2 linked regions of the Oryzias latipes genome follow. The protein of the gene in region 1 interacts with the protein of each later gene in a biochemical or structural test. Links are inferred from orthologs where the notes say so. Each region holds a gene or a part of one and is shown on either strand. Other genes may lie near its edges.

What was found.
Region 2: the proteins of myo5b (region 1) and rab11fip2 form a complex in vitro, tested with the Homo sapiens proteins (2 studies listed by BioGRID). The link is inferred for Oryzias latipes from reciprocal best matches to the Homo sapiens genes MYO5B and RAB11FIP2.

What each region holds. Positions count from the first base shown.
Region 1 is NC_019870.2:391,461-395,378, forward strand, and holds the start of myo5b (unconventional myosin-Vb), read right to left. Parts: upstream 2,771-3,918; 5' UTR 2,647-2,770; coding exon 2,521-2,646; intron 1,480-2,520; exon of another isoform or gene 991-1,479; coding exon of another isoform or gene 964-990; intron 1-963. Other genes in the region: cfap53 (cilia- and flagella-associated protein 53), read right to left, coding at 3,364-3,568, 3,648-3,750, 3,846-3,918. UniProt on the Homo sapiens protein: May be involved in vesicular trafficking via its association with the CART complex. The CART complex is necessary for efficient transferrin receptor recycling but not for EGFR degradation.
Region 2 is NC_019873.2:30,137,212-30,141,029, forward strand, and holds part of rab11fip2 (rab11 family-interacting protein 2), read left to right. Parts: intron 1-10; coding exon 11-89; intron 90-2,626; coding exon of another isoform or gene 2,627-2,692; exon of another isoform or gene 2,693-2,978; coding exon 2,979-3,203; 3' UTR 3,204-3,818. UniProt on the Homo sapiens protein: A Rab11 effector binding preferentially phosphatidylinositol 3,4,5-trisphosphate (PtdInsP3) and phosphatidic acid (PA) and acting in the regulation of the transport of vesicles from the endosomal recycling compartment (ERC) to the plasma membrane.

The sequences.
Region 1 (3,918 bases):
GTCCAGATTCTGGTCGGTGTTCCTGTGTGGATTCCCATTCATTCCAGTGAATTAGCACTTAGACACACCTGACCCAGGTAAGCAGTACCTGCAGTGAATCAAACGATCAGAAAACCAAACCTTCAGGACCAGAACCACAACCCTCCTCCAGATCCAGGACCCAGACAGATCCTGATCCTCAAAGAGTTCCTCCCTACAGGTCCTGGTCGGCCCACAAACACCTTGAAGCATCAGAATCATGAAGTCCGCTTTAGTCCAGTGTGTCCAACATCCAGGTTCTGCTGATGGCTGGGGGGGGGGGGGTGTCTTCATTCATTTTATTGCAACAGTAAAAAAATCAAACTTCCCCAGAGGAAGAACTGAAGCTCAGTGTCTAGAAAACAGAACTTCATTACCCACAATGCTCTGAGAGCCCCACACCTGTGCTTTAAAAAAGGCGCTTTTTGCATCCGCTTGCCCCAACCCCCCCACAGAATTTCTGCTCCGATCCCCATCCTCAGCCTCAGAGTCCAGGTTCTGGTTCTGACAGAACCTCAAGTACGTACCAGAACACGAGGGGGGGGGGGGGGGTTGTACCCCCACAGAGCAATGACGTTTCAGTCCAGAGCGGAACCCGCCTGTGGGTCCGGTACCCCATGAGATTTAATGCAACCTTAATGCCCTGGGTGGTGGGGAGGAGGGAGGGGGTATCAGAGCTACAGACCCCCCCTCCCCAAAGCCCCCCTCACCCCACACAGAACAAAGCGGTACAGCGCTGCCTAACGAGTTACTCTAACTTCCGGTCACCATCCTGAGAGTGACGTCACCGCTGTGAGCGACAGGTGCCGCCGCTCCGGGAGCTCTGACCCGGGAAACGAAAAGTTCGGTTCGGTTCAGTCGCAGAGTAACTTCCGGATGTCCAAGACGCCCCGCAGCCGGGGGTTGGGGGAAGGGGGGTGAGGGTGTTTCTCAGGTAAGACTCACCTTCGTGTACAGGTCGTTCACGGACATCGTCTCGTCCAGATCCGAACCGCTCTGGAACTAAGAACCCATGAGACCCTAAGACCCGGTTTGGGTCTCGTCCACGCAGCCCGCAGCAGGTGTCCGCGGGAGTTTCGGTCAGTTTTTTTTCTGACAGAGAGGCTGTGCCGCTTCGAACTGGACCGTCGGTGACTCTTAACAGCAGCTTTTATCAGAACCGGACCGTAAGAAGTCCAGAAGAGGCGCGCGGCGCAGGTGTGGAGGCCGGTTCTTCCTGACAGCCGTGTTTCCTGACGCGACATCTGATTGGCTGAAGATGCGCCAGGTTTCCGCCGCGCGTGCGCGCACGCAGCAGTCCCGGGGTTACTCCCAAAGGCGGGTCTGTTGGGTCAGAAGCTGGCAGTGGATAGGACTCTCGGGGCCCCTGAGCCCAAGAGCCCCGCCCTTTTCTCAAGGCGACATCCGTGGGTTTAGACAGCGCGCGTGAGGCACCCGAAACTCCACAGACGAGCGCGCGCCTGCCACACATTGGCACGATCACGTGACCTGATGTTCCAACTTTCAGGAAAGTTAACAAAAGGAGCCTGAGGAACACCGCCCCCTGGCGACCGACCAGCCGAATTGTTAATTCGGGACAAAAGCAAAGCTGGAACTGGACATGTCCCTGGCGGCTTTCTGTAGGAAACCAGGACCGAACCGAGGCGGATTTTCTGGACCGACGCTTATCAAACAGTTGATTCTAGCATTTTGATTTGAACTGGACTGAATAGAGAAGGACGCTCATGGTCGTTTCTCACAATCAAGAGCACGTTCTCCCCAAACGTCTTTACACAACTAAAAAATGACCACTTCCCACGGTGTGTGTGTGTGCTTACCTGTGTGTATCTTTGTGTGTGTCTAAATGAGTGAACAAATAAAGGTAGCTGCTGTTAGAGGATGCAGAACACAGGGTTAGATGGAGGAAGCTGATTGGCTGAGGGGAAACGCTAGGAAGAAAATTTGTGTAGATGTCTGTATCTTTGTGCGTGTGTGCCTATTTACCTAAATGTGTGTTTATCTTTGTCTGTGGGGTGTACATGTTTTGTGTACCTGTGGGTGTGTTCCTGTGTGTGTGTTGTGTTCCTGTGTGTGTATTGTGTTCCTGTGTGTGTGTACCTGTGGGTGTGTTTCTGTGTGTGTGTTGTGTTCCTGTGTGTGTGTGTCTACCTGTGTGTGTGTGTGTGTGTGTGTGTACCTGTGTGTGTGTGTGTGTGTGTTCCTGTGTGTGTATTGTGTTCCTGTGTGTGCGTGTGTGTTCCTGTGTGTGTGTATACCTGTGTGTTCCTGTGTGTGTGTGTGTACCTGATTGTGTGTATACCTGTGTGTTCCTGTGTGTGTGTATACCTGTGTGTTCCTGTGTGTGTGTACCTGTGTGTGTATTGTGTTCCTGTGTGTGTGTGTGTTCCTGTGTGTGTGTGTTCCTGTGTGTGTGTGTGTGTACCTGTGTGTGTATACCTGTGTGTTCCTGTGTGTGTGTGTACTTGAGTGTGTGTATACCTGTGTGTTCCTGTGTGTGTGTACCTGGCAGTAGAGGTTGTATTCCACCTTCATCCTCCGTCTAGAGCGTCTGCTGCTCTCAGACGGTCTGAGCTCAGACATCAGGCGAGTCCCGCCCAAACCACACCTGCCACAGGTATGAGCCGTCATCCCGCCCTGACCTGAAAAGCAGAACGGCGGCTGTCGGGTCCAACCTGTTAAAACAGTGACGAGTGACGCGTCGGCCAATCAAAGGCTTTGTTCCATACGATCCGGTGTGAATCACAGTTGTGATTTGACTCCACCGAGTGAAGATCAGAACCAGAACATTACAGTACAGTACAGACTTTGAGTGGGCGGAGCTTAGCCTTAGGCTGACTTAAAGATGGTGGTGCAGAGGATGCAGGTGGAGTGTCCTCAAAACGCTCTGCTGGTGAGTCAGTCCAGACAAACTCCTGTTTTATTGGAGACGATTTTAGGAAAAACGTGTTTATCTGGTTGGAAATCAGAAGGAATCTCTGTATGCCTCTTCCTGAATTCTGTTTTAATGCTGATGTGGATCCTCAGACACAGCTCCACCTTCAAAACAGGCCAGACATCAAAGCGGACCACTGAGGAGGACCCACTCTTCTGCGTTGAAAGGACCAAGAATCCGCTCTGATCCAAAAGCAGGAAGAACCGAACTTTGTGGTTCGTACACTGGATTCTGTTGATCTTTCTTTAGTTCCTCTCTGAATCAGACGCTGTGATCTGAGCTCTGATGAGGTTCTTCTTCTTTTCCAGGAGCCGTTTTTCCTCACAGAGGAGGGCCTCTAAGGTTCCAACAGGTTAAATCACACAGAATCTCATCAGACTTTGATGATTTTATTTATGAACTGAATGAACCCCTCAGTGCCGGAACGGATGCCTGCTGGTTCTGTGGGACTCGGGTTCTGCCAGAACCTGGTCTCTCCTGCGGTTGTAGATCTCCTCCAGGAGCAGGCCCTGCCGATGCTCCCTGTCCTCCTGAGCCTTCCAGACGCTGCAGAGCTGCTGCTGCTCCGCTATCTGAGCCTGCAGGTCGTCCCGGTACGCGACCGCCGCACACCTCCGGCTGCAGCCCGCCATATGAAACAGGAAGTGATGTCACACATACACAGGGTTTCTTTCATATGACAGGACAAGAGATCTACCTTCTCTTCTCCTCTGCCTCCTTTATCTTTGACTCCTCTGTGGCTCTACAGAGCTCCTCCCTCTCCTTCTGAAGCTCCGCCTTCTTCTGCCGGCTCTTATCCACTATGAGCACACACACACATGTACGCACACGCATGCTCAGCCTCAGTCAGAAGCTGATTGGTGGAGGGAACGGGGATGAAGAGGAAGGTTCTCACGTTTGTTCTGGATCTGGAGGCGCCGGGCCTCCATCACCTGCTCCATCAGCAGGTTTCTGGCCTCCCGCTGCAG
Region 2 (3,818 bases), on another chromosome or scaffold:
TGATTCAAAGCGAGAAGAGGCAGACAGGAAGTGACGACGTTTCTTTGGGCCTGAAGAAGAAGAAAAAAGACATTTTCAACACCAAACATGTAAGAAACTCCAAAGACGTGATACAAATATCTAAATATCTCTGGTAACTGCATGTGGAGGATTCATTGTTGTTCATTTCATCATTTAGTTTTTTCTGGTGGAGGTTTTTCCAAACGGAGCCGTCCGTCTGTCTGCTGGTCTGTAGACCTTCACATGATGCAGCCTTCAGCTCATTAGCAGCTGCTCCCGACCCGGCAGAACCTACAGTGCAGTCACATGTCTGTTCTGTGCTCCTGTCCGTCAGGCCCGACCCGGCAGAACCTACAGTGCAGTCACATGTCTGTTCTGTGCTCCTGTCCGTCAGGCCCGACCCGACAGAACCTTCAGTGCAGTCACATGTCTGTTCTGTGCTCCTGTCCGTCAGGCCCGACCCGACAGAACCTTCAGTGCAGTTACATGTCTGTTCTGTGCTCCTGTCCGTCAGGCCCGACCCGACAGAACCTTCAGTGCAGTCACATGTCTGTTCTGTGCTCCTGTCCGTCAGGCCCGACCCGACAGAACCTTCAGTGCAGTTACATGTCTGTTCTGTGCTCCTGTCCGTCAGGCCTGACCCGACAGAACCTACAGTGCAGTCACATGTCTGTTCTGTGCTCCTGTCCGTCAGGCCCGACCCGGCAGAACCTACAGTGCAGTCACATGTCTGTTCTGTGCTCGTGTCCGTCAGGCCCGACCCGACAGAACCTTCAGTGCAGTCACATGTCTGTTCTGTGCTCGTGTCCGTCAGGCCCGACCCGACAGAACCTTCAGTGCAGTCACATGTCTGTTCTGTGCTTGTGTCCGTCAGGCCCGACCCGGCAGAACCTACAGTGCAGTCACATGTCTGTTCTGTGCTCCTGTCCGTCAGGCCCGACCCGGCAGAACCTACAGTGCAGTCACATGTCTGTTCTGTGCTCCTGTCCGTCAGGCCCGACCCGACAGAACCTTCAGTGCAGTTACATGTCTGTTCTGTGCTCCTGTCCGTCAGGCCCGACCCGGCAGAACCTACAGTGCAGTCACATGTCTGTTCTGTGCTCCTGTCCGTCAGGCCCGACCCGACAGAACCTTCAGTGCAGTCACATGTCTGTTCTGTGCTCCTGTCCGTCAGGCCCGACCCGACAGAACCTTCAGTGCAGTTACATGTCTGTTCTGTGCTCCTGTCCGTCAGGCCCGACCCGGCAGAACCTACAGTGCAGTCACATGTCTGTTCTGTGCTCCTGTCCGTCAGGCCCGACCCGACAGAACCTTCAGTGCAGTCACATGTCTGTTCTGTGCTCCTGTCCGTCAGGCCCGACCCGACAGAACCTTCAGTGCAGTCACATGTCTGTTCTGTGCTCCTGTCCGTCAGGCCCGACCCGACAGAACCTACAGTGCAGTCACATGTCTGTTCTGTGCTCGTGGCTCTGGGTTGGTTTGGTTCTGATCCTCTCTGACTACAGAAGTGCTGTATTTGTACTTCTAACAGTTGTTAGGTTTCAGTTCTGTTCTTTTCTCCTTTAGAAAGTCCGGCCTGTTTCAGCGGCGGCGCTCATGGGGGGGGCAGCAGCTAAAGTGAGGCTTAAATGAGGAGGAGGGTGGTGATAATGGCTTTCCTCACCTCTCCTCGTGGGTGTTGAGGGTTGTCCGTGTCCACACATGTGGCCCTGCACGCCGCTGTGTGCCTTCCAGAAATGGCAGCTCCCATTTCCTCTGCTTCAAGGCCCTAATTAACCACATGCAGTGGGGGGGCAGTGAGAGATTTCAAAGGATTGAGCTTTTAGATTCACAGAGCTGAGCTCATTAGAAACTGTAATGACACAACTGGAGAATGCCAAGTGTGGGCCTTATCTTCTTCTCACTACTGATGGCAGAAAAATGGTCATCATTACTTTGCCAGTTCACGGCCGTTTCCAGGCCTTTGTCAGCAGCTGCACATTATCATGCAGTGGCTGTGCGCCGCTGTGAAACAGGAGGAGAGGGTACGCTCACACGCTGGCACGTAAAACAACATCCACCTCTCTCAGGTGTGCAGCGTCTTCCCGCTAATGCCGGACATTTAATCTGTGGCCAATATTCGGAGTGGGTCTGTGTGGCCCCACAGTAGCCCCAGTAGTGGTGAGGGAGGCGATAAGAAGTCCAGCTCCAAGCCGGCCATTGTCTTTCTGCAGCGGCGGAGGCCTGAGCGGTGCACGGGAGTGGAAGCTGATAAGTGTGGTATTTTAAAGAAGGTGAAGGCTTTTGCAGCTCTATCCGTCTGGGGGAGGACGCCCGGCGCTAAAGCGATAAAGTGCTCCCTCATTAAAAACGATTACAGTTCCTCTCATACCAGCGCAATATGATCTGCGCACACCGTGCCACGCCGCTCCGTCCAAACAGATTGTCCTCAAAGAGCAAAGCGGGGCTTGAGCTGCATCCTTGTAGCGGGGTTTATTAGCCGGACCTTTCATTTTAGAAAAAGGCGGCCTGGCATTTCCCCTCAGACCAGATCCCCCTTTTGCCTGTGAAATCTCAACAGTGGGGCCACATGCAGATCCTGTGTGAAGGAGGAAGAGGTGTCTCATTATGCTGCTTTGTTTTGCAGGGTCACAGTTCAGTCTCATTAGACAGCCAACCTCCTAATTCTCTTGGAGTGACGCTGACAGTTTGAGAAAATACCGTCTGACACTGACGAGCAGCCACATCCCAGCAGCTCTCAATTAGCCTTCATTAGAAACGCAGAACAGCAGACAAACACTTGACATTTTGGGCCAACACACCTAATTAGTCTGTTCTGTTTAATTGGTCTAACGAGCGAACAAGAAGGCCCGTCATTCCTCTTGATTCTGTTCATTCCTGCTCAGCCTGTGAGAAATGCTTTCCCTGTTTTACTCATCAACTCTGCAAACTGAAGCAGGAATGTTCTGCGGCTAAATGCGACTGTTTTGGTGTTGGAGGTGGTGACGCAGGGCCGCGCCGAGGCCTACAGCAGCCTGTCCTTTGAGGAGGTGGTGCAGGAGCTCATCAAGCAGAAAGAGGTGGTGAGAAAGAAGGACGCACACATCAGGGAGCTGGAGGACTACATCGACAACCTCCTGGTCCGTGTCATGGAGGAAACGCCAAGCATTTTACGGACGCCCTACGAGCCCAAAAGGAAGGCGGGGAAACTTTCTAAGAAGTAGGGAGGAGGAAGCAGAGGAGCGTCTGAAAACCTGAAATGGTTGAATTTTACGAAATGGGTGTCTTTTTCTTTTTTACCTTTTTTCTCAAAATGTTGGGTTTTCTAAATCTTCCATTCTTCCTGTACCTCTTTTGTATGATTCCACGAGTTACTCTGCATTTATGGTGCAGGAACAGCCTTTAGCTAACTCCTTAGTCGGACCATCTAAGGTTTCATTTCAAATGAGAAATCGATTTGACCTAATGATACGCCTGTTATCATGGTAAGAACATCTATGACAGTATTAAACGGCAGCATGATGGGACATTTTTCTGCAGAGAAACTGGCTGTAAAAACACTTGGAGGTGTGAGCACTGGAACTTTGTGAGTCATTGAGGGGAAATGTTCCTGCTCAGGGAGTTCTGTACAGCCTGCAAGGGGAGTGTCATGATGTGGGCTTGCTTCAGGTGCTCATTGACACTCGGACTATGAAGAGCAGATGTTTCCTCGATGGAGGAACCTCACTGAGAAGTGGTACGGACAGTGAACCCGGCGGTCTGGTTGTCCGGTAGAAGAGCGCTTTGTGTCTCAGCAAACGTTCGTTGTTTGTTTCTGAATGTTGTTTTTGTGTTTTTAC